Lepisosteus oculatus: one gene and its partners. The protein of the gene in region 2 interacts with the protein of the main gene of each other region in a pairwise test. Links are inferred from orthologs where the notes say so. Each region holds a gene or a part of one and is shown on either strand. Other genes may lie near its edges.

The links.
Region 1: the proteins of calcium and integrin-binding family member 3 (region 2) and tacc3 interact in binary tests that used the Homo sapiens proteins (3 or more experiments, as listed by UniProt). The two-hybrid records come from large-scale screens. The link is inferred for Lepisosteus oculatus from reciprocal best matches to the Homo sapiens genes CIB3 and TACC3.
Region 3: the proteins of calcium and integrin-binding family member 3 (region 2) and trim2a interact in binary tests that used the Homo sapiens proteins (3 or more experiments, as listed by UniProt). The two-hybrid records come from large-scale screens. The link is inferred for Lepisosteus oculatus from reciprocal best matches to the Homo sapiens genes CIB3 and TRIM2.

What each region holds. Positions count from the first base shown.
Region 1 is NC_090696.1:5,719,585-5,726,912, reverse strand, and holds the start of tacc3 (transforming acidic coiled-coil-containing protein 3), read right to left. Parts: upstream 3,084-7,328; 5' UTR 2,975-3,083; intron 1,274-2,974; 5' UTR 1,273-1,273; coding exon 1,108-1,272; intron 976-1,107; coding exon 824-975; intron 1-823. UniProt on the Homo sapiens protein: Plays a role in the microtubule-dependent coupling of the nucleus and the centrosome. Involved in the processes that regulate centrosome-mediated interkinetic nuclear migration (INM) of neural progenitors.
Region 2 is NC_090724.1:5,142,779-5,150,287, forward strand, and holds the start of calcium and integrin-binding family member 3, read left to right. Parts: upstream 1-4,436; 5' UTR 4,437-4,519; coding exon 4,520-4,570; intron 4,571-5,845; coding exon 5,846-5,880; intron 5,881-6,710; coding exon 6,711-6,822; intron 6,823-7,371; coding exon 7,372-7,509. Other genes in the region: tax1bp3 (tax1-binding protein 3), read right to left, coding at 3,321-3,359. UniProt on the Homo sapiens protein: Acts a an auxiliary subunit of the sensory mechanoelectrical transduction (MET) channel in hair cells. Plays a role in regulating hair cell MET channel localization and function.
Region 3 is NC_090696.1:24,973,135-24,980,644, reverse strand, and holds the start of trim2a (tripartite motif-containing protein 2), read left to right. Parts: upstream 1-4,427; 5' UTR 4,428-4,544; intron 4,545-4,661; exon of another isoform or gene 4,662-4,851; intron 4,852-7,510. UniProt on the Homo sapiens protein: UBE2D1-dependent E3 ubiquitin-protein ligase that mediates the ubiquitination of NEFL and of phosphorylated BCL2L11. Plays a neuroprotective function. May play a role in neuronal rapid ischemic tolerance.

The sequences.
Region 1 (7,328 bases), on a different chromosome or scaffold from region 2:
TTACACAGGTCTCAACCTCTTGGAAAAATGTTTCATTTACTTCTAAACACACACTGTTGCTTCCTCAAGCAAAATGCTCACAACAAATCCTGGCCTTTCCTCAGCTCCTCCTCTGCCACAATCATCAGTTCTCCTTTTGTTACAGCCAGATGGATAAGCCTAGCAACTGGTCTTAAAAAATCATTAAAATGCTAATAGGTCAAATTCACCACTTCTGGTATATAAAGGTATTAAGGTATTGACATTCAAGAACACTGACCTAAATGTCATGCAGTTAAATAGGCATATCCAAACATGTAAAGTCTTAACCTTGAAAGACCTTGAAATTAAAGTGGTTTAAAACATACAACATTACAATTTTACCCAAGAAGTAAGATGCAATGCTGACTTTGTAATTTTTCTGCAAAATATTTCAGACTTCAAAACAAGCAGGAGACTCCTGCAAAGTAAGGCAAAAGGGAAAGGACTCCTGGTCCCAAAATCTTTGCTCAGAAAATAAACCTAAAAAGCACAGTAAAATGAAGAATTAAGACTGTAGAAGTTGTAGTCACTCTAAAATAAGTATTGAGAGCTCAAAAGAGTGTCCTATTTCAGTAGGCTTGGTCACAAAAAGTCCAGGTAAACTCAACATTTGCCAGACTCTTCCTTTGTGACCTCTCATACACAGTACTCTAGGGCACAGCTCTTGGGCAAGAACACCTTTGCCTATCCCTTCCTCTCCCCTCAGGAAGCACAGAAAAAAGAACAGTGGCAGCAGGTATAAAGAGTAAGAATACTGGTGGATTCCTGTTCTACCAAACGCAAACCCACATCAGCAGCTCACCCTGTGATGGCAGCAGGGTGGTTTTCCAGGGAAAGAGTTTCCATAGCCTTGGTGCAGTCATCCAGACCATCAGCACGCTCCACCTGGCTTCCCTTGTTTGACGAGACAATCTTGCGCGTCACGGGGTCTCGCAAGGGCGTCTGAAAACAGACCTGAAACAAAAGGGAGACGTGGCAACTGTACCCATCTTCTCCAACACAGGTGTTCAAGGGCTTAATTAAAAAGATCCAACGGAGCTCATTTGGAAAGAGGATTGCGTTTTACACAGTTCAGAAGTTCTATACCTTCACTCCCTTTGCCAAGCTTTTAGGAGGCATGTTTTCCTTTTGGGACTGGCGCAAGATGGAGGGTCTTCCTGTGGGCTGCAGGATATCGCAAGTCTCCAAACTGATGCAGCTTCGTGCAGGATCCACGCCAAAGTTTTCATCGTTCACGGCAACCACACTCATCCTGCGAGCAGACAGCCAGTGTGAGTGACAGGCCACGCCCAGAGTGCCAGCTCCACAGCTGGGCTGGCAGATAACAGTGGAGACCAATTTGGAAAAGCACACTCAGCATGACTCCACTGTCAATACCACTTCATATCCACTATATCACTCACCTTCAGCACAAATTCACTGTACCTTTAGTTACTACACAGTGGACATGATTCGGTCCACTCATTGCTTTCAGCCCTCATTAACTGGATTATGTACAGTATATGTTTGAATTTTAAAACAAAAACTACATACAAGTCAGGAGTAGAGTGCCGGGTGTCATTTTCCATACTGAATTAAGAATTTGGGATTTTTTAAAAAAGAATCACATGCAGTTTGACCTCACTAAATGTGTGACAGAGCAAAAAACAGTTTCCCAGATTTCTTGTGAAAAGATATAAATCCTTAAACCTCTTTGAAGGCAACCACTGCAGAACTAATCTAGTATGTACTAAACATTGTGTAAATGCTCAACTTATTTACTGATGTTTAGGAAACAGTGCATTCCATGACTATAAAACCACTGGCCACACACAGCAACACAGGCTGAAACACAGCAGCTTCCAGTCCTGTAGTCCAACCAAAACAATGAATTTCATTATGGCAGTGTCATCACAAGACCAGAACAAAAAACAAGACTCCCAAGCAGGGGCGGAATGACATGTTCCAGAAACCTTGAGATACAGCCCATGTGACCATACTGGAAAGCACTGATTTTTCACTTGGCTCTTTTATTGTAGGTGACAAAGAACGTGTCCCTATCGTGTCTGAAGATTTACCATTTTAAACACAAAGATGTTATCTTGCGGGAGGGGCTATCAGAAGCCAGAAACGATAAAAGTCCAACTCTAGGACCTGTGGTTGAATTCAAATAGCACAGGCATAAAACCCATTCACGACATAAAAAGAAAGACGAATTATCTCTCTCTCACCGACAGTCTGTACTTCGCAAGATTACGTCACCGCATAGAGAGGACCTCCCAGCCCCGTTTAAACATGTGAGGACAAGAAAGCAAGTTCCATGCACGTTTCCCGGAACTGAGCCGAAAGGATGCAGCGATCATCTGATTTTATTACATCCTCATCGATCATTAGCAAAGATGAGCAACAAAGACGTTATCGCCTGTACTGTGGGTTCAGGCGATAGACCGCGTCTTAAACTTGAAAAACGGGCTTCGACAGACTAAAGAGAGATTCACACGTAACTGGCAATTTCTAAAAACTCACCCAGGTGACAGCTTTCCTCCAAGAAGTCTGATTGTCACAAACAGGCCTGCAGTTCGGCGTTGCGTTCAGTGATTTAGCAACACTTAATGACACGATCATGACTTATCCAGCCATTGAAGCAGGCAGCCGCGAGTGAACACGGCCTCACACCCGCACACATGAACTGTCTTTCGGCTGACCCGCATCACAGCAACGCCGCAATTCATCCGTCCCATCACGAATAAAGCAGCTCGAAAGTGAAGACGTACTGCGGCTTACCCGGTGAAACCTGGCCGACAGATAATTTTCCGTTTTCCCTTACAGGCGCAAAATCCAAAACACAACTACCAAGAAAGCTGCGATTCTCCCCGTAACCCCGCTGTCTGCCCAGAGACGATTTCCATCAAAAATAAAAAGCGCCGAAACATGCAACAATTACTTCTAAAGCCCGGCACAAACTCATACGTACCTCGAACGACGAGTAAAACAGCATCAAACGCGAACAGCTTTCTTCACACTCAAGTCCGTACCTGACGTTCAAGCGCTGCAAACCGCCCAGTACATTTTAAATTTAAACCGAGGCCAGCAGCCAATCGGGAAAGGGAGCACGTCAGCAAATGGGTGTTTTTTTAAGACAAACCAGCCAATGGCGACTGAGGACAGACGGAGCTGCGAGATAAGGGTACGTCACCATGATTGATTGCCGAATAACCCAATAGGATGGAGAAACGACGAGCTCGAGCGCTGCGTTACTAGTTAAAGAGGAGGATTGTGTCAGCGGAAGCTGTGTTTTTCTGAGCTTGTTGATGACATATAATCAGTCTCTGAATTCGTTGTGCCATTGATTGACAGAAGTGTATATATGTCGACAGTGCAAATGTACGATGCACGTGTCCTGAGCAGCGCTAAAAGTTTTTTTTTTCCGTGAATGTGTGGTCAGCATTAGTGTTACTGCCACCAAACCGAGTTTCATCCCGGGAAAAGTGAAGCCGAATTATAAAACGAGGGCTGGTTTCATCTGATACATCTCCATGTCTCTGTGATCAGTAACACTTTTACACTGGCAGTGGTAGTTTCCTCTCCTCCGGCAAAAAAAAAAAAACAGAGGGTGTCTGGTCTACTGTAATGATACCAGCAGAACCTAAAACAAAACGGGAAAACGTGATTAGAACCACATCAAACAAAATTGTGGGCAAAGGATTTTGTGGTCACTCTCGTTTCAGTTTTAGTGCCTTTTGTGAATTTTTTTTAAACGATATTCTGTTAAACAGGACATATTAAAAATGGAAATCATAATAATTCCTTATACTTATATAGCGCTTTTCTGGACACTCCACTCAAAGTGCTTTACAGGTAATGGGGACTCTCCTCCACCACCAGTGTGCAGCCCCACCTGGATGATAGATAGATAATACTTTATTAATCCCGTAGGGAAATTGATGTGTTACAGCAGTCCAGCCTAAGACAAGCAAAAACAGACTTAAGAATAGTTATAAAACAAAAGACAACAAAATAAAAAATAAATACATAGGTGTGTGCAAAATGTGATGATCATAGTCACTGTAAAAGCAATAAAATATGTGCAAAATGTGCATAGGTTTATACAGACTGATTGATGGGATGATGCGACAGCAGCCCATACTGCACTCACAGTACACTCACCACACAGGAGCTCTTGTGGAAGAGAACAGAGATGAAGCCAGTTCATAGATGGGGGTTATTAGGAGGCCATGATTGGTACAGGCACTGGTTCATTTAACTTGGAACAATGCCATACATTAGAATTCACAGGTGAAGATTGCTGATCCGTGTGCCTAAGGAAGTATCCAAATATCCACAGAGCTCGGACTGTCTGTGTCCAACAAACCAACTAAGTTGGACTAAGTTAGGACTAGGCTTAGAGAAAAAATAAGCAATTTATATCACTTCTAGTTAAGATCACTACTGGAAAGGGATTTGATCACAGGGAGATGTAACTCTGGGCTTTACTCTCAGACATACTCTCAAAACTGTTTTTTTTTTTAAGTGGGATGATGAATTCGGAACTTAATTCTCAGGTGTAATCACTGAATTTCACACATGTAAAGCCGCCCTTGGCCTGTTGCAATACATTTCTTCAGCAGAAGCATTTAAACACAAAATAAAGTACAGAGGGGAGCTCAGGAGATCTCCATTAAATTTAACGTGAAAGAAAAGCACAAAGAGTGGTAGCAGCATGGAACAAACTAAAAGGACAGGTGGAACACTGCTGGATGAGATCCACTGATTAATGAGTTATACCAAGCCAGCACACAAGTGCCCTTTCATCTTCTACTAAAAACATCATTGTTAAATTCAGTGTGCTCATCTACTCATCAGGCATCGTTTTAGATCATCTTTGAGATAGTGTTACAAGACAGAGTATGAATAAATAAAATAGAAGTATATAAAAAGAACACCAGGACCTGACAACACCTTGCCTTGCAAACAGATTGTCAAAGGTAATGATTGTACACTGAGAGGGTCGATACCATGATCACATAGCTGATGGAGAAGTGCCTTTCTCTGTGGTGCTGTTGGCAACAAGCCGTAGTATTTTTCCCCAGAGCTTTAGAAAATGAAAGGTGTTGGAAGTCATAGGAATGCACTGTGCTTTGAGCTCCTGGATTGTCTTATTATGGACAACATGCAGTTCAGCAGACAAATACAGCAAAGAGAGCCGGGGTATGAACCACAGTTTCCAAAATGTATCCGTGCTCTCCCAGTCTAGGAGTGATAGATGAGAGTGGTAGATGGCCTCAATAATGCTCCATATATTTGTATGTAAATGTATTATGATGTCTCTATATTGTAAATGTCTGTAGATCTTATGTTGATTATATATGATGTGGCAACAGTGATTTTTTTATTGGTCATGCCAACAAAACTTCTTGAATTGAGTGGTGACATTGTGGCTAAGGATCTGCACCTGTGGCTGGAAGGTAAAATCCAGGGGCTGGCAGAGGAATCCTACCCCATTGGGCCCCAGCTGCTCCAGGGGTGCTGTACAATGGCTGACCCTGCTATCTAACCCCAAGCTTCTCCTCATGTCTGTGTCTCATGGAGAGCAAGCTGAGGTATGCAAAAAAGTTTTGGCAGGTGACTGTGTGTTGATTGGGGAACCATTAACCAGCATCTAATCAACGTCTAATCAATTGTCCTACTGAGATGGCAGGGGAGATACCTTGATCAGCCTGTAGGTGGAGTAGTTGGATTGTTTTCTTGTTTTGTGGGAGCAGTGTTTGTTTTGCAGTTTTTGAAATGGCAACCTTTGGATCCCGCAAGAATGCTGTACGTTTTGAGCTTTTGGATGACCTCTTCATGGATCGTGTGCAGTTCAGCAGAAAAGTGTTACAGAAGGAGCTCGGCTTTGAACCTCGGAACTTGGATTTCATCTTCGCTCTCCCAGGTCAGAAAGCATTTGAGGTTCTATTTGCTACCTATCCTCTGTTTGAACAATGCGTGGATGTGTTTGAGGCAAAAAGAGGGAAAGTTCCTGCACTTGAGAAGATCAACTTGCAGCCTCTGACACAGAGAGAGAGGAAAACGGTGCATGTTGTTATGTTCTCGGAACTGGCAAAGACGGAGGACATTCACACCTGGCTTAACCAGTACTGCACCGTCCACCATGGAACTGAGGTTAGAGATGTTGACGGTATAAAAACAGGAGCAGGGAAATTCGAAGTTCGCTTGCTACCGGACAGCGTAAATGGACGCTTAAGGCACCTGCCCTCTACAATCCGGCTGGGCGCCTGCAATGGCTATGTGTTTTATGTGGGACAACCAAAGGTGTGTCGGCGCTGTGGTGCTGTGGGACATCTGGCATCGTCCTGCACTGTGAAATGCTGCAAGACCTGTGGCAAACAGGGACATTTAGCCTCTGACTGTTCAATGCTGCCAAAGTGCAATTTATGTGGCTCGGAAGGACACGTTTTTAAGAACTGCCCTCACGCCTACGCCAATAAACTCAAAATGAGAAAGGATGAGGCAGTGCTTGTTTCAGCCAAACCGGCCCGAAAAGCCAAAGCAAACAACAAGTCAAACAAAGAACCCTTGTTGGACAAAGACTCTCAGCCTCCAGCCAGGATCAGTCCTGCTGTGGCTCCGGGGCTGGTGGAAGAGAAATCCACTACGCCCCCACAACCGCAGACTGCACCAGACAAGCACGAGGGTTTGAAAACCCCCGAGAACAGCGAGGACCCCTCCCCCACTCCTGCTCCTCAGAACGAGGGCCAGTGTGGGGCCCCCCGGTGGAGCGGGTCCAGCGAGGATACCCAGGATTCAGCGGAGCTGCTTTTCTCAGACTCTGCAAGTGCTACAGATGCCCTCCTCTCCTCCATCCAGTCCATCACGAAGGATCTGCGGCAGCTGGTGGGTGAGGGGGAAGAGGAGACCATCCTAATGAAGGCTCATTCAGAGGATGGCTGGCAGGAAATTGGTAAGAAGAAAAAGAAGAAGGTAACAGGTGAGACAGAAGAGAAATGTGTTTTGTAAAGACTGGTTCCACTTTCTTATGTAATATGGCTCTAAACATAATTTCTCTTAACACCAGAGGTATCAATGACAGAGTTAAATGCCAGTCTGTCTTTGATTACCTCCAGCAGAGAGAGGGAGATGTGTTGATGTTGCAGGAGTGTGCTTTAGCCTATCAAGAGAGGTATAAAAGCTTTGAAGATAGGTGGGATAAAGGGCCTTCTGTTTGGTCAGGGGACAATAACAACAGAGCCTCTGGCGTGGCCATTCTTTTCAAAGGATGGGCATTCAAATTGAAAAGTATTCAGAGGGTAATAGCTGGCAGGTTGCTG
Region 2 (7,509 bases):
TACCATATATCATCACATAACTTGACAATCTTCACACTAGTTATGTTAGCATCTAATGGAATGATGAGTCTGTATCTATCTCTGTGGATAAACTAAGAAACATCAATTCACAAAAAGCGGATTAACTAAATATTGAAAATGCTTTTTTCACTCCAATGCAATATTTAAATAATCTATACAAGGGCACTAAAACCAGTTCTGGGACTATGACGTGTTAATTTAACTTCTTATCAGTTATCTCACATTCCTCTCCTTATGTGTAATATCAAGGACTCGGCAATCTGCAGTGAGGCTATTGGCTATTTAAAGAACGCCATCATTAGCTTATCCTGTTGAGAATGTTTTGCAATGTCCTGGCATCTTCATTAATATAAAGAAATAACATGCAGCATGTCCTATAGCAAATCTACCCAAAAGTCTTATTTTCAAGTCCTATGAAAGCTAACACTATCTTAATACATCAAGTAATCTAATTCAAGGTTCTTGATAGAACTGAACACTTTGCAGACTTGTTAGTTGCATTTTCAGCATTTTAAAAGTTGTCTGAATACATATGAAAACTGGGAAACACAATAAAACACATGAGTACCCTCATCATATTACGATGGTCTGAAGTCAACTTCACTGCATGTTCAGAGGGAACCCAGTCAATGCACTGCAGCAGAAAGTGTAATATCTGTATTTACTAATCAGACTGGGATGTGCAAACATGAAAGTTCTTTCTTCTAAGTGTGACCTGGAATGTTAGCACTCACATCTGGCTTTCTTTAATATGTTATTGTACTTGCAATCAAAGCTAAAATACTTTTCCAGGAAGTTACTCTTAAGATTCTATTGTTATAAAATACTCCTTTTAATTAAATCAATATAAATGCATGTGAGGAAGCTTATAAAAATAATAACAGCTTCAAACACTACAGTGTCCCAGATTGTGGATGAAAAAAAAAATTTTTCAATATCTCAGTTTGAGGACAGCACAGTGGTACAATGGTTAGGTTTGCTACCTCACAATGCTAACCGCTGGGGACCCGGATTCAATTCCTGGGGGTACTAACTACATGGAGTTTATAACACATGTTCTTGCATGGGTTTCCACTTTGTGCTCCGGTTTCCTCCCACAGTCCAAAGACATACTGGTACAGTAGGTCTACTGGCTTCTGTAAAATTGGCCCTGCTCTGAGTGTGTGTGCCCTGAAATGGAGCCATCCAGGTGAACAGTATCTCACCTTGTGCCAGTTGCTTGCCAGGGTAACTTCCAGCTCTCCCTACAACCATGTTCATCTTAAATGGATGAGAAAATGGAAGGATGGATCTCAGTTTGAAAAACTTAAATTCAGATTCTTTGTAAGGACCTCGGGGTGCTCACTTGTAACTCACACAGCAAAAGCACAGAATATGAAGAGGTCTTCCTATATCTTTTCTATTCTGCATGCCTTTTCTCCTCTAATATTTACTAAAAATCGCATGTTTCATCGTGTGAGCACGTGCTAATACAAACAACATCCGTATGTAATATCTGCCCCCACTGACCCTGGATAACAGCATGTCCTGTGGCGTCAGTCACACACCCCAGCAGTTTGCCAGCTCATGTACTGACATGGTGAACAGGATGAATCTCTCCGTGTATTAGCAATACTGTTGTTTAAATAGTGTGTTGCCAAGGTGACACGAGGTTCAAGGCTTCTTAGATCTTACTATAAAAAATACCATACATAAAGCCTTCTACAGCACCTACAGTGCTCTTGGTTCTTCATTCCTTCAATATTTAAAAACCCAAAGCTGGAACCTTGAATAGAAACAAATTTGTCAGTTTCTCCATATCAGTCAATTTGTTTAGATGAGAAAAGCTAGAAAATGCTTTCTTAACTCTCCACTTAGTTACTGTGTGTCTGTGTGTGTACAAAGTGGTCTCCCCTTCACATTATAAGGGTGCTTTTTACGATTGGTCTCTTTAATAACGAGTAAGCAAACACAGTTTAATCCACAGTACAGTTTGTGCTAACAGTGTCATACGTTCATTTTGATGAAACAGCTGGACATATGTTGAATGAATAATACGAAAAAGGTAATTGATACAGATGTTGCTGTTACAGTTCTTCATTGAAGTTCGTGAAATACGCTGACCAGAATTGCTGCTAAATTAATACATCGAGGAATTTCTCAGAGCACCTCTTTGCCGACAGGTGTGTCAGTAACAACTAACAAATTGTTAGGCGGTCAAATGTTTTTTGAGCAATATATAGAATTACATATATAGAATAATTCACTGAATTGTTGGTTAACAGTTAACATGCACTCAGCAGTGGGAAAAAAATACATTTTCTGCTACAATTGCTATACTGTCTGTAAGTCTTTTCCACATCTGGTGAAAAGACGATTAAAACGAATAGGGAATTGTCTGTAACCTACAAGTACTCATATCTATATGAGGATTTTTCATTCAAACAGGTGTAACAAATTAACACGGGTAAAAATAGCCGCACGCCATTAAAAATGTATTTCTTGATACTGTAGTTCCGTGAAACCTGACGAGCAAACTATGATAAAAACTCACTCATACACCCACTTCGTAAACACGCGGGGAAACCATTTACCGTAAGTAGTTGTAGTTGAAAAAAATCGGATCAATTACTTAAAACGAATGCACATCTGTTATAACCACAAAGCAAATAGCCTTAATTGTATTATTAATTTATAATTGTATTGTATAGGTTTTGCATTCTATAAAAGTTTTAATTCTTTCAAATTCACAAACTTTTCATACAGAATACAGTGCAGGTTATCCGTATGTATGTAGTAGTACACGGGTGCGGATGGTACCCTTTAAAATTTAAAGGAACCGTGATTTCTCAAAAAGAGCCGAAGCAAAGGAGACAGAATTTTTTTTCAGAAATGTTCTACTAAGTAAAAATCAATAACGCATCAAACACATACTACTAATGATGTGAATAAAATTACGACGACAAAAACTCACTTTCTTTTACAAAAAATAAAATTTCTCATTCAAGTTTGCATTGAACTAGTCATTTACACCAATGTTAGTTTTTACAACTCGTGCGCGTAAAAACCATGGATGTTATTTTTTATGTTAAAAGTAGATTACTTTAGTCACGCAACAATACATTTAAAATTTTTTCGTACTCGCACCCCAACGTAACAGCTCTACAAAGGGATTTCTGCGTTTCCCCCCGTGGCTTCAACTTGATACGCAAGACCGAGGCTTTGTAAGGCCTACAAAATATTCCCTTCAAATAGCTCCATAGCCGCTATGGATGATGCACGGAAAAGCAAAAGAAAGTTTTCTTGTTAGAGAAACTTACCACTACCGCTGTAACTGGCTGTCCTGGAATAAAAGACATTGTAAACCAAATACAATAAAAATCGCCTCACTCCGTAAAAAAGGCACAGCCCTCAGCCGAACAAGGGATAAATACAATTAAAGCACCACTTTCCTTATTCATGAGCAGACTTTGTGAATAATTCATGACTCGGCTCCAGGTTGGGCGTATAAAGATGAGGTAATGCTCCCTACTGTTGGTGTTGGAAATTAAGTCGATCGTCCCGATTTATACAGACTCTTAATAAAAAACTAAGCACTACCGTGAAACTTCACAGTAAAGTGCTGTTGATTTAACTGGAATTTAAACTGCAGTCTTGTTTATATTAATGGAAATGTCCTTGCAATTTTAAAGGACGCCAATGTATTAAAAAATCTTTGCTCAATTTCACAATTCTGGAAGATCCCTCCTCATGTTTATTTGGAGTTTGAAGTTACAAAATTGCACAAATAAACGTTTAGTGTTCAAACGGTACAAGGAATTAATGTATTCGTCAAGTTTTGTTAAGAAGCACGTTTATTTTTCTTATGCATTCAAAGTAATTCTGATGTTATTCAGCTGCAGACCTTTTAAATCCCTTCCTTCTGGGTCTCTTTTTCTTTTTATTTGTACAAGGTACATTAAAAAAACCTGCCCTCTGGCCCATCACGCACCCTAAGGATGTCACCCAGTTTATTGAACAGGGACAGCGCACAGCTCTTAAACAGCACTAGAGTTAGTTAAATGACATCTGTACATCTGGGATGGACACAACATGACACAAACACGATACAAGTATACAAGTACTGCTTGCTGTTGTGGACAAACGTCAGCACACCAGGTTGACGAGACCTGATGCACTGTCTGTAAAGACCATTTAGAGGCTGTAACGTGAGACAGGGGTGAGTGCGAGGTAGGAACATCACGCTGGGGAGCACTTGGCGTTGATATGAGTCTGAATCATGCTGGACGCCAGCCCTAGTTCATTTTAAAGGGGCTTCTATTCAGATCAGAGAAATCGATGAAATGCTCCTATTATGATGGTGAACTAAAGGGGCGCGTGGCAAAGGATACCTGATCTCCCACTGTTTCAGGGCTCCTTTTGTTCCAGTATTTTCATATCTGAAATATCCAGAGGTCTTATAAAAGGCTGTTGGGTGGAACACTGCAATGGCACTGAGGCACGGGGAGTTTGCACAAGGATGGGGAACAAACAGACCATCTTTACAACACAGCAGCTAGATGCCTATCAGGTTGGTTCTAATTTATTGTCTCTCAGCGGGATGTTCTTTGAACTCTCATGATTATTCTTATTCAGGGCTGCACTTTGCAGATTGGAGCAACTTCTCTTTCTGTACACTTTACCTGTGAACCCACTTTCAAAGACACAATGTTCTACGGTGTGAATCTTTCAAATAAGTCGTGAGTGAGCACTTTCTGAAACCACTGTAAATATCTGTTTTGTGCCAACAGTTATTACTATCAGCAAAGTATAGCAACCTGCTCCACCCAGATGCAATACAATTGCATTGGATCTTTTTCTAACTGGGTTGTGAAGGCTGAGCATTTCATATAAGTTTAAAAACAAGCAGTAAGGATGACACCTGTCTTTCTGGGATTGATTATTTCTGTGCACTGCGCCTTTCACTTTTGAATGGACCTGCTTGTATTAGCAAGGGATGTGTGGAGTGTGGAGTAGCAGTCCTCATTTCTAAATTACAAAGCTGTATGTTCTAGCCAGCAATCCCTCCATTTGTAAATGCCAGTGGTTTGAAAGGAAAGTTTGCAGCCTCGGTTAAAGAATTGACTGCTCATTCGAAGTAAATGGCCATTCTTGTTCACCACAGTCCGAAGGGTTAGCGCCAGTGTCAAGCAAGGCCGGATTATGGCAGGGTCTTTGTTCCATTAACAAAGAGGGTTGCTGAAGAGGAAATATGATTAATTTCTTCCTCTGTTAGCTCTGCAGCATGACTGTGCCGAAAGGCTGCTGGTACATATTCATCCAGCATTATTTACTGATGAGCTGGTTTGGTATCAGTCCAGAGAAGAGCAACTAGATACATTTTGGGTCTTAAGGAGATGTTGTACACTGACAAGCTGAAAGAACTGAACCTCTTTAGTCTTAAACAGAGAAGAGTATGAGGTGACCTGATACAAGTATTCAAAATTCTGACAAAGATAACCCAGCAGAGTTCTTCAGAACAACATTATTCGGGAAATTCTGGCTTATTTCAAGGAATGGCAGGATGATATAAATTAACTGTTAATTAAATGTTCTTGAATAGCGTTCTGTAAGTAACTGTTTTTATGTTATTATGTAGAAAGGTAATAAGAAATAAACAACTTTTCATCCGTTGAGTCTTCAAGTGTCTTGTATTGTGGTTTTGCCTTATAATGGAGATGTAATAAAAAATGCTAATGTCACATACATGAAGCATGCGTATCACATAAGTGAAGTTATGCCAATATGATGAACAGACAAGCATTCTCTATAGTTCAAATAGTTTTTATCTTTGTTGTTTTTCTAGGACTGTACATTTTTCACCAGAAAAGAAATCCTGAGGTAAGAAAAATGGCTCACCTTTGATAATAAACAAGGTTAATGAAGTAAATCCTTTTTGTTCATGTGGAATGTGACACAGCGAAGTTGTGAGGCATTTCTGTTAAGAGAACAAAATACAGAAAAAAACATTTTGCAATTTCATTGAGAGAAAAAAATAAACTCTTTCAAAATCTTTGTTCAAAACAACCACAAGGACAAATTTTATTTGAACATAGTTTATATTTACCTTTCAGTAAAAGAAAGACAATGAAATATAGTCTGTCTGTCAATTCAGGAGCTAAAGACATTAGGTTGAACCATTGACCTGCATGCAGAACATTATTTTAAATTAATTTCTTTTACATTAGAATCCTTTGCACAAAGTTGATTTAGCTCATCAGTAAAAATTCAGTTCTCTGGGTTTGATGTTCAATGACATTTGCAGAATTAAATGGATTTTGATTGTCGTCCTAAATCCTGAACAGAACTGAATGGCTTCCAAGCCGTTCTTCTAAATATAGTGCTTGTGTAGTCCATTTAGTTTAGACTAAATGGTGTCCTGCCCAAATTTCCCCCTGGCCCTTACCAATCATGGCCTCCTAATAATCCCCATTTCTGAACTGGCTTCATCACTCTGCTCTCCTCCCCACTGAGAGCTGATGGGTGTTGAGAGTACTGGCGCACTTTGGCTGCCATCACATCATCCGGGTGGGGGCTACACACTGGGGGTGATGGAGGGGACTCCCCATTACCTGTAAGGTGCTTTGAGTGGAGTGTCTAGACAGGCACTATGTAAGTCTAAGGATATTATGATTATGATGTATCCTTGTGTCATGTACTAATGTCCCTAGGCTGTTTCATCGCTACCGGGACCTGGCACCACAGCTTGTTCCACTCGACTACACCAGCAACCCAGATGTCAAGATACCATACGAGCTGATTGGCAGCATGCCAGAGTTGAAGGTACGCCCACCGATTGTGCTGGTGAAGGATGTCCATGCCATGCTCCTGGGGACACAATCAATTATTCATCGCCTACTAATTGACAGGAGCCTTGGAGAGGTTATGAGTAACTTGATCCCTGTACACCTGAAGAAAGTTATATTGCACAGCTTGTGCTCCTGGCAATAGCAGCTATTGTCTGGCACTTCACACACAGTACAGGGCTGCTCTTGTGGGCATTTGCACCGTGGAAAAGATCAGCATTATTAGTGAGCAAATACACCCTTAATCATCTGCCAAAATCCCTTTGCAGATAGAGAAACGTTTGCAAAAATATTAGACCAATAGTTTGCTAAAAACATTTTTGGTAGAACCTGTAATAGATAAGTTGTGTGCAGGTGAGCATGGGAGGTATGCTTTGTCTCTGTTGTTCTGGTAAAAGCAAACAAAACTAATCAATACATTTCTCTACAGGACTGGTCATTAAAAAAGGATGTGCAGTACTTCAGATGGTTGTGAGTGATTCAGGGTGGTAGTTAATTAAACAGATGTCTTTTTTGCAAATTGCAGGACAACCCTTTCCGCCAGAGAATAGCTGAGGTTTTCTCTGAAGACGGAGAGGGAAATATGACCCTAGATGACTTCCTGGACATGTTCTCTGTACTGAGTGAAATGGCACCAAGGGATCTGAAAGCATATTATGCTTTT
Region 3 (7,510 bases), on a different chromosome or scaffold from region 2:
ATCCTTATTCCTGGTTAGGTTAACCTCCACCCTGGGGAGACACCAGTACACTAAAGGGCACACAAACAAGCACAAAGGTACAATTTAGAGGCACCAATTAACATGGCCAGCATGTCTATCAAAGGTGAGAAGAAACCAGACCACCTACAGAAACCCACATGAAAACCTGGGGAGGACACGAAGACATCACACAGAGGGCACTAAAGTCTGGAATCACACCAACCTAAACTCTGTTAATGTAATTCTGCATTGAAGTTTATTTATAGTTGATGCAAATCATTATGTGCGGTGCTGTTAAACACAATCTAAATGAGAACTGTTCTAACAAAAATAAATATGAGCTGTGACTCTTCACGTCTGCTTTGGTCTCACATCACACAGACACTGATAATTTAGAAATAACCAGCTGAAGATTTTAGGTGTTTGGGAAACATAGAAAAGGATAATAGCAGCATTAATTAAAGTATAACGAATCACTTTGCTTAGAAGAGAGGCATGAAGCTCAGAAGCTGTCATCTCCTAACATTTAGATGGCTAGTATCTTTCTGCTGACAGACAACACTCCTCATTTCCAGAAGTGTTTATCCTTATCATAGAGAAAACAGCAACCCCTCTCCGAGTAAAACCTTATCAGAGCCTCTTTTAGTATGAGAGGTGTCTGTGTTAAGATTATCTCTTTTTCCCCAAATTTAGCATGAATTTTCCAGGCTTGTTCTTAACTGTAGCTTGCCAAATGTGATCTTTGTAATGCAAATGTGTTCTTAATTTCTTGTTCTCAATTAAAACACTCAAGATTATTCCAATGAATCACCTATCTTGCTTCTTTCAGTGGGGATTAAAATTGTTTTCAAGTGTACAACTAGATTAAGCCAGCAGCATTCTACACCAAGCACATGTCTCTTTCAAAGCAGGGAAGAGTATTCCTGTACTGGGTATGATGTGATTCTTTTTCATGGATTCTTCTTCGGAACAGATAAAAAGGCAGAAACCTAAAAGACCATAGGATTATAAAGCACTCAGAAGTTCATAGTCAGCATTTTGACCTTTCTTTCAATATCACATAACCCTGTGTAATAGCTTTACTGCTGTAAAATAATTTTCTGGCAAATTTATAACATGACCCCAAAACTCTAACAGCATTTAGAGTTACTTTAAATTGTTAAGGGAATACATTTAAATATTTGACACTATAGTAAATTTGCATGATTATCTTTGTACTGGAAGTAGCAACTGGATATCATATCTGAAGTATGTCATAACAAAGCAGACATTTTGAGCCAAATCATATAATCTAATTACATCTAGACTCTCCAAGTTGTCAGTTAGCAGTATCAGTATACTTAGCATCAGTCTCCTGGGATTTGGGACCATGACAACAACAAGAAAATCTCTCTCCGAATGTTCGGTGCAGAACACTGTCACTATTATGACCAGAGGGACAGAAGACACAGGAGATTAGTGTTGTGTGCTTTTCCCTGTGGAGCCTTGCATTCATAGTTGAGTTGTGTAGCGGTAAAGTAGCTTATTAGCCTTAGGAGGCCAAAAGGCTTTATCTTTAAATGCAAAATTAGGTAGTGAAACCAAAAAAAAAAGGATGCTTAGAGCTCCTGTAATGCTCCTGAACAATTACTCCTGGGGAAGTGTTTGCCATCTTTTCTGTTCTTTCTATTGGCGAGCTAAAAGAAAGCTAACCCCTTTCTAGTTAGTTGCAAGTTTTGTACGTTTGTTAGGGATAAACACACTACCTAATAAAATCTACAGTTTATCAGGATTTATAGATAACTTTCTATTAACAACTTTTTAATTTGAACTCTTAGTTCTTCAGATAGTTTGCATTTCAGTTAAGTGATTGAGTGTGAATGTAGATAAAAAACCTCAAGATCTACAGCTGTTTGATTTTGTTTTACTTTTTCAAATACCACCAGAGAAAAGCATAATCATGACTTTGAATGCTGGCTTGGCAGTCTACAACCATTTGTTTCTGGGTTAAGTTGATAGTGTAGTGTATAAACTACAGTATATCCCAAACCATATCTAGAATTTAAAGATCAGTCTCAAAATAAAGCCGGATAAGGAGTCTGAGTATATACTATACGTGCTCTGCTTCAGTCACTGAAGAGCTGCAGGTTTCCATAATACTGGTAGCCTGTAACACATTTCAAATTTCAAACATAGGACATGTTTTAAATATTTAGTACAGTAGTAAGGTATTTTTTATATTCTGGTATTTTCATTATTTTTATTCCTTCTTTTTCATCTTCTTTTCATTAATCTGTAAAGTGTCTGGAGGCAAAACTCCTCCATTACATATTAATGCGCTACTTACTGTATGTCAAGTACCAATTTGTTTCTTTCAGTACTCTCACTGCATATAGCTGGATTTTGGTTTCATAGTTGGGAGATGTTTTGGATTCAGAAAAGCACATCCGAACCCTCAAAACTCTTTGTATACTTTATGTCACTATCAGACAATTCTCACATTAAACAGGAATGCAAATAACGTTTCATCTGAAAGGGCTTTCATCCAGTCTGATGCATAATGTATAGTTACCATAGCAACAGTCTCCCTGAGGAAAGAAATGGTTGCCCATGGTTCCCCTGGAAACCAATGCCATGCTGAGAAGCAGATGCATGCAGGGAAGTGGGTGGAATTAAAATGAGTGCAAAGTTTTCTAGGTTTATAGTTCATGCCTAAGGTCATAGAATAAATAACAACTTCAGCTTTTTCGGTGGTGAATGACATTTAAACCTGGGCTTGAGTAATTTATTGTGCTCTTGCTTCACAAAAAAAAGTACATACAAATCTGAAAATATTAGTAAGTTCATTTGTAAACTGTTTGATTTACAGTATTACCAAACTAATAACACAGTATTTGCAAAATAAATACAAGTTTCTTGTTCAAAGCTGTTTTTATCATTATTTCTAAGGTGCTCAAGGATTGTTTTGAATTTCAGCTCACACTAATGCAGTGAAACCACAAATGGGGGTTTTGTAAAGCTTTTTCTTCACAAATGAATTTGCTCTTGTATGGATGTGAAGCTAGCAGTTTGGGAATTAGAAGTGTTTGAAGAACAAAGGAAATCAGAAATAAAACAGTTTTCACTTCAACTTGGCTTTGGAATTTTAAATGCACGGCATTCAGAGGAAGAGAAGCATGGGAGAGGGAGAGGGAACACGTTTTGTACTGCAGTAAAATGCTTTGACAGCTGTCCTGAAAACATTTACAAAGACCTGGAATACAGCATTAGGAATGGATGATCTCAACTTGTCCCTTAAGAACATAAGAGAGATTACAAAAAAGAGGAGGGCACATAGCTCATCTACCTTATTTAACAAAAACAAAGTGGCATACTGGTCATTTACATGGAAATGCTTCTCAGGCAACACATCAGATACAGCAAATAAGGTCACATATGTTACTGGCCAATAGAGCTGCAAAAAAGTTTGTACACCGAGCTGCATGTCTCAGGATTTAGAATTCATCATCTGACAAATAATGTCCAATGAGCTCACGAGGCAGCATCTGATATTCTCTTGCTGGATACCTGATGAAAAACATTGACCTTGAGAATTCAAAAGTAGGAGCCAATATTTCTTATTGTGGATGACTAGCCTGAGATACTTCATGCCAGCTATTTACATTATTAACTGATCTTCTTTATTCACAAAGAAAGAAATGTAAGAGCTGTTTTCAATCCTCCTTCAATATTCCAGACTGCTTTCTGAATAACAGCAGATCCATTAACAGAAAATTAAAAGAAATTCTAGTCACTTCTCTTCTGCTGAATTAAAAAATGTGTGTTTCAGCAAATCTGTAGGATAGTTAATTGCCTGAAATGGGACAGGCCAACAGAGACTTTGAATAGAGGCCACAGTTTATGAGAGGGCAAACCTGAATTATTTTCAATATATCTTCGTATATCCATCTGCGTTTTCAATTAATCATCAAGTTTCTTCATTTGATAATGATATATTTGACAGCTTATAATGTAAATTAGACTTTTCTGAAAAGCTTTAGTACCATAGGTAAGTCATTATACGTTATGTGCAATAATGTAATGTTTATTTTATATTCATAAAAATATCATTGTTTCGTTTATTTATCCAATAAATCTGGATTTGAATAAAATACACATCATATTTTATTTGGATGTATTAAGGAGTTTTCACGGAATCACTGAAATTTCAGTATAACTTTTCTGCTATTTCAGTCCAGCGTAATGAAGGTCCGTCCAGAATTAAGTAAATTATTTTTACATCAACACCGCCAACAACGAATAACTAGACGTTCATAGTAAGAATGGACACTATTATCACAGGCATTTTAAAAGTGTTCTTTTCGTCCCGTCACTACAAACTCCTCCTTCTTTGATTTAAGATCCCTGAATCTGCAGTGAAACCTGGCTGCTGCATTCCATACATACAGTATGGGATTAAGTAGGCAATAGGGGTGAGCTCTCCATTCATTCTCAATTCACAAGTGTTAAGGCGAAGAGGATTTTTTCTCTACCTTTGTTGAGGGTGACAGAATACATTCGTGAACGTGAGTACGCCTAGCTTCTCGTTTCCTTCGATTTCCCAGTCATAGTACATTATAAGCAGAGCACTTGCGCGTTTGTCTTCACTTTGACCAGTCAGTAAGCAATAAGGGTGCCTTAGGAGGAACAGTCGTGTGTTTCGGTCGAATGGTTGTTGTATTTATGGAAGCACTCGGAAAGCTTTTTTTTTAAGTGTCATCAAAGTAATAATCGCTACTGTCCTATCACTGCATGACAAGTGAGAACAAGGAATCTGTGCAACAGAATCTGGCTTTTCGCTGTTCGACATGCTTCTGCACTCAAGGGCTAAAGGTAGGGCTAGTCATCTCTGCTCCCCCATCGTAAGGTTTATAATTTATTTGCCAATATTTATTTAACGGCGCGTATTTTGTTCGTTGTTTTCAGTTCATGGATAGTATGAACGTGGACTATGCTGTGCTTTGTTGTTTCCTCAGAGGATGCAAAGCTTTTAGCAAAGTCTTGACAACAATCGGAGCTTTTGTGTCGACTCGTATCAGCATCGTTGCATTAAAAGAAACTGTTTTACTGTGGATTTCTGGTCGGTTTCTCTGAGGTACAGCAAGTTTTTAAAAGTTACATACAGGTATGATCGCTATCACAAATAGCGCTGTCACCACTTTCCGAATTGCATCTCTTGTGATTTTCAAGCCAACTCTGTTGATTGGTGGTGCAATACAAACTATTCATGTAAAGAAACAAGTAATAGGTTTATTCCATGCTGAAAAAAAGAAGATGAAAGAAAACAACGTTTCGGCTGTGGAGCCTTCTTCGGGTTTAAGGGCTGTGGAAGAAGTGTCTTACAGCCGAAACATTGTGTTTTTTTCTTCTTTTATTCAGCATGGAATAAACCTATATTCTAATATTCTAACAGTTTTGATGTGTGTGTGTAATAACGATATTTTGCACTTAGAATTTCGTATGATTAATATATATATACAGTTCACACGTATATTGCGCTTCAGTGTAGATTTTCGAAGATTTCTGCTGAGGATTTGTTTCTCTTCATTGATTTCTGTTTGGTCACAAATGCTCCAGTTCATTGATATTTAAGGTCACTGTGTACTAAAATTAGATAATCGACAAATCGAACTCTCTTTTGTGGGTTGCTGTTACGGATAGGGCAGTATTAAAGGCTGCTGCTTTATAAAATATCTTTTTTAATTTAAGGCGGAATGGAGTAAATTGCATCTCATAATGGCATTCAGGTTTCATACGCTGTGGGCTTTTCAAGTTATTGTTTTGTACATCATGTATGTAAAATGATGTAACCAATTAGTTAAATTATAGGGCAGATAGTAGAAACCACGTAACCAAAAATAATGTGTTAACATACCCTGAAAGATCCACAATGAAGCTTTTCATTTGAAAAATAGCAATGCTATCAGTGCTTACATTATTTAATGATAGTGAAGGAGGACTGTTACATACTGTACCTTGTGATACTCGAGAACATGTGAGGTACAGTATAGGAAAAAAGTCAGGCTAAAATTAGTTTACCATTGATTACCAATCATATGAGAGCTGTATGTCTTTCTAGACATTTTTTTGAGTTCATTTTTTTATTGTGTCAATTAAACCTGAAGACAAGGAATGGGAATGTTTGTGTTATTCTGTAGATCTGTTTTCTGTTTTATGTTGTTTTTATTTCATTTCCTGTTTAAAAGATGGCAACTGAAAAGCTAAAGGCACATACAATACAAAATTAATAAAGAAATTAGCATAACATGTTTACTGATTTATATTTTATTATTGTCTGTAAAAGTAGCTTCATTGTAATAATACATTTAGAATCTTCTTCAGACATGTATAGTAATTACAATGAGTGTCAGCACAAAATGGATATTGATTAAATGATTTTGGTGTCATTTCGATGAATAGATCTTTCATGACTGACTGTGACGCACTTGAGTGACTGACTCTTGCATAAGCCATACAGTAAGTGAGAGAGTTGATTGGACACCAATCACTGACAGTGTCACGGAATAGCTCTGCAATCCATCTTGGGTTTGTGATAAGACCCTATGCGAGCAGTAGAGTCTGGAGGAAAGGAAGACGTGCTATGGTGAAAACAAACAAGGGTTTATTCGTGCAGCAGGGTATCGGGAGAAAAGACACAGGTATCCAAATCCAAACGGGTCCATAGGAGAGTCAGGGCACAGTCGAGGGGTCCGAATCCGAGAAATCCATCCAGTGACGACTCTAAGTTAAAATCCCTGGGAAGGGGAAACACAGACATGACAAGACCTCGGAGGACCTCGCTCCGGGCTCAGGAAACAGGAAATGTGGGGGATGAGGCCTGTGCCTTCAGGCCACGGACGTGGGACGACCTGGTGCTAGGCGGGCCTCGTGACATCCATATGCTAATGCTGAGCCCTGAGCATTGGAGGCACTAGGATTAAATAGAGAGACAAACAAGACACACCGGGAGGACATAAACAATCACAAGGAGCTAGGGACAAGAGAGCAGTGGAGGGCCCTCTAGGGGAGGGATGTCAACCGTGACAGACAGTCTGCCAATGATGAGCCATGACCTGAGGGGTCACAAATACATAACCACACTGTATATTTGTGATCGTTTTCATACGGCACAATCCACTGTCTCAGAGTTGCCAGGGCGCGACAAGTGATTAATGGGAACTTGATTGCACGGAGTACAGTACATTGAAGTTCTAGGACCTCACTTGATGCTGTTCCTGTTGGCATATCCTGACATGACCTCATGCCAGCAGGACAACACTTATCCTCGTGCTGCTTATTTAATAATGGCTCACTTGCAAGATGAGAATATGATAGTTATGTTTATGGGTATGATATGTAGTATGAAGGGCTCATTGACCCATGAGGAGGACATGCTTGTGCAGGCTCTACAAGACTAATGGAACAGAATTTCACAAGATAGGATTTGCAAACTGCTATAAAGCATATGTTGCATACAGTACGTGTAGCTTGT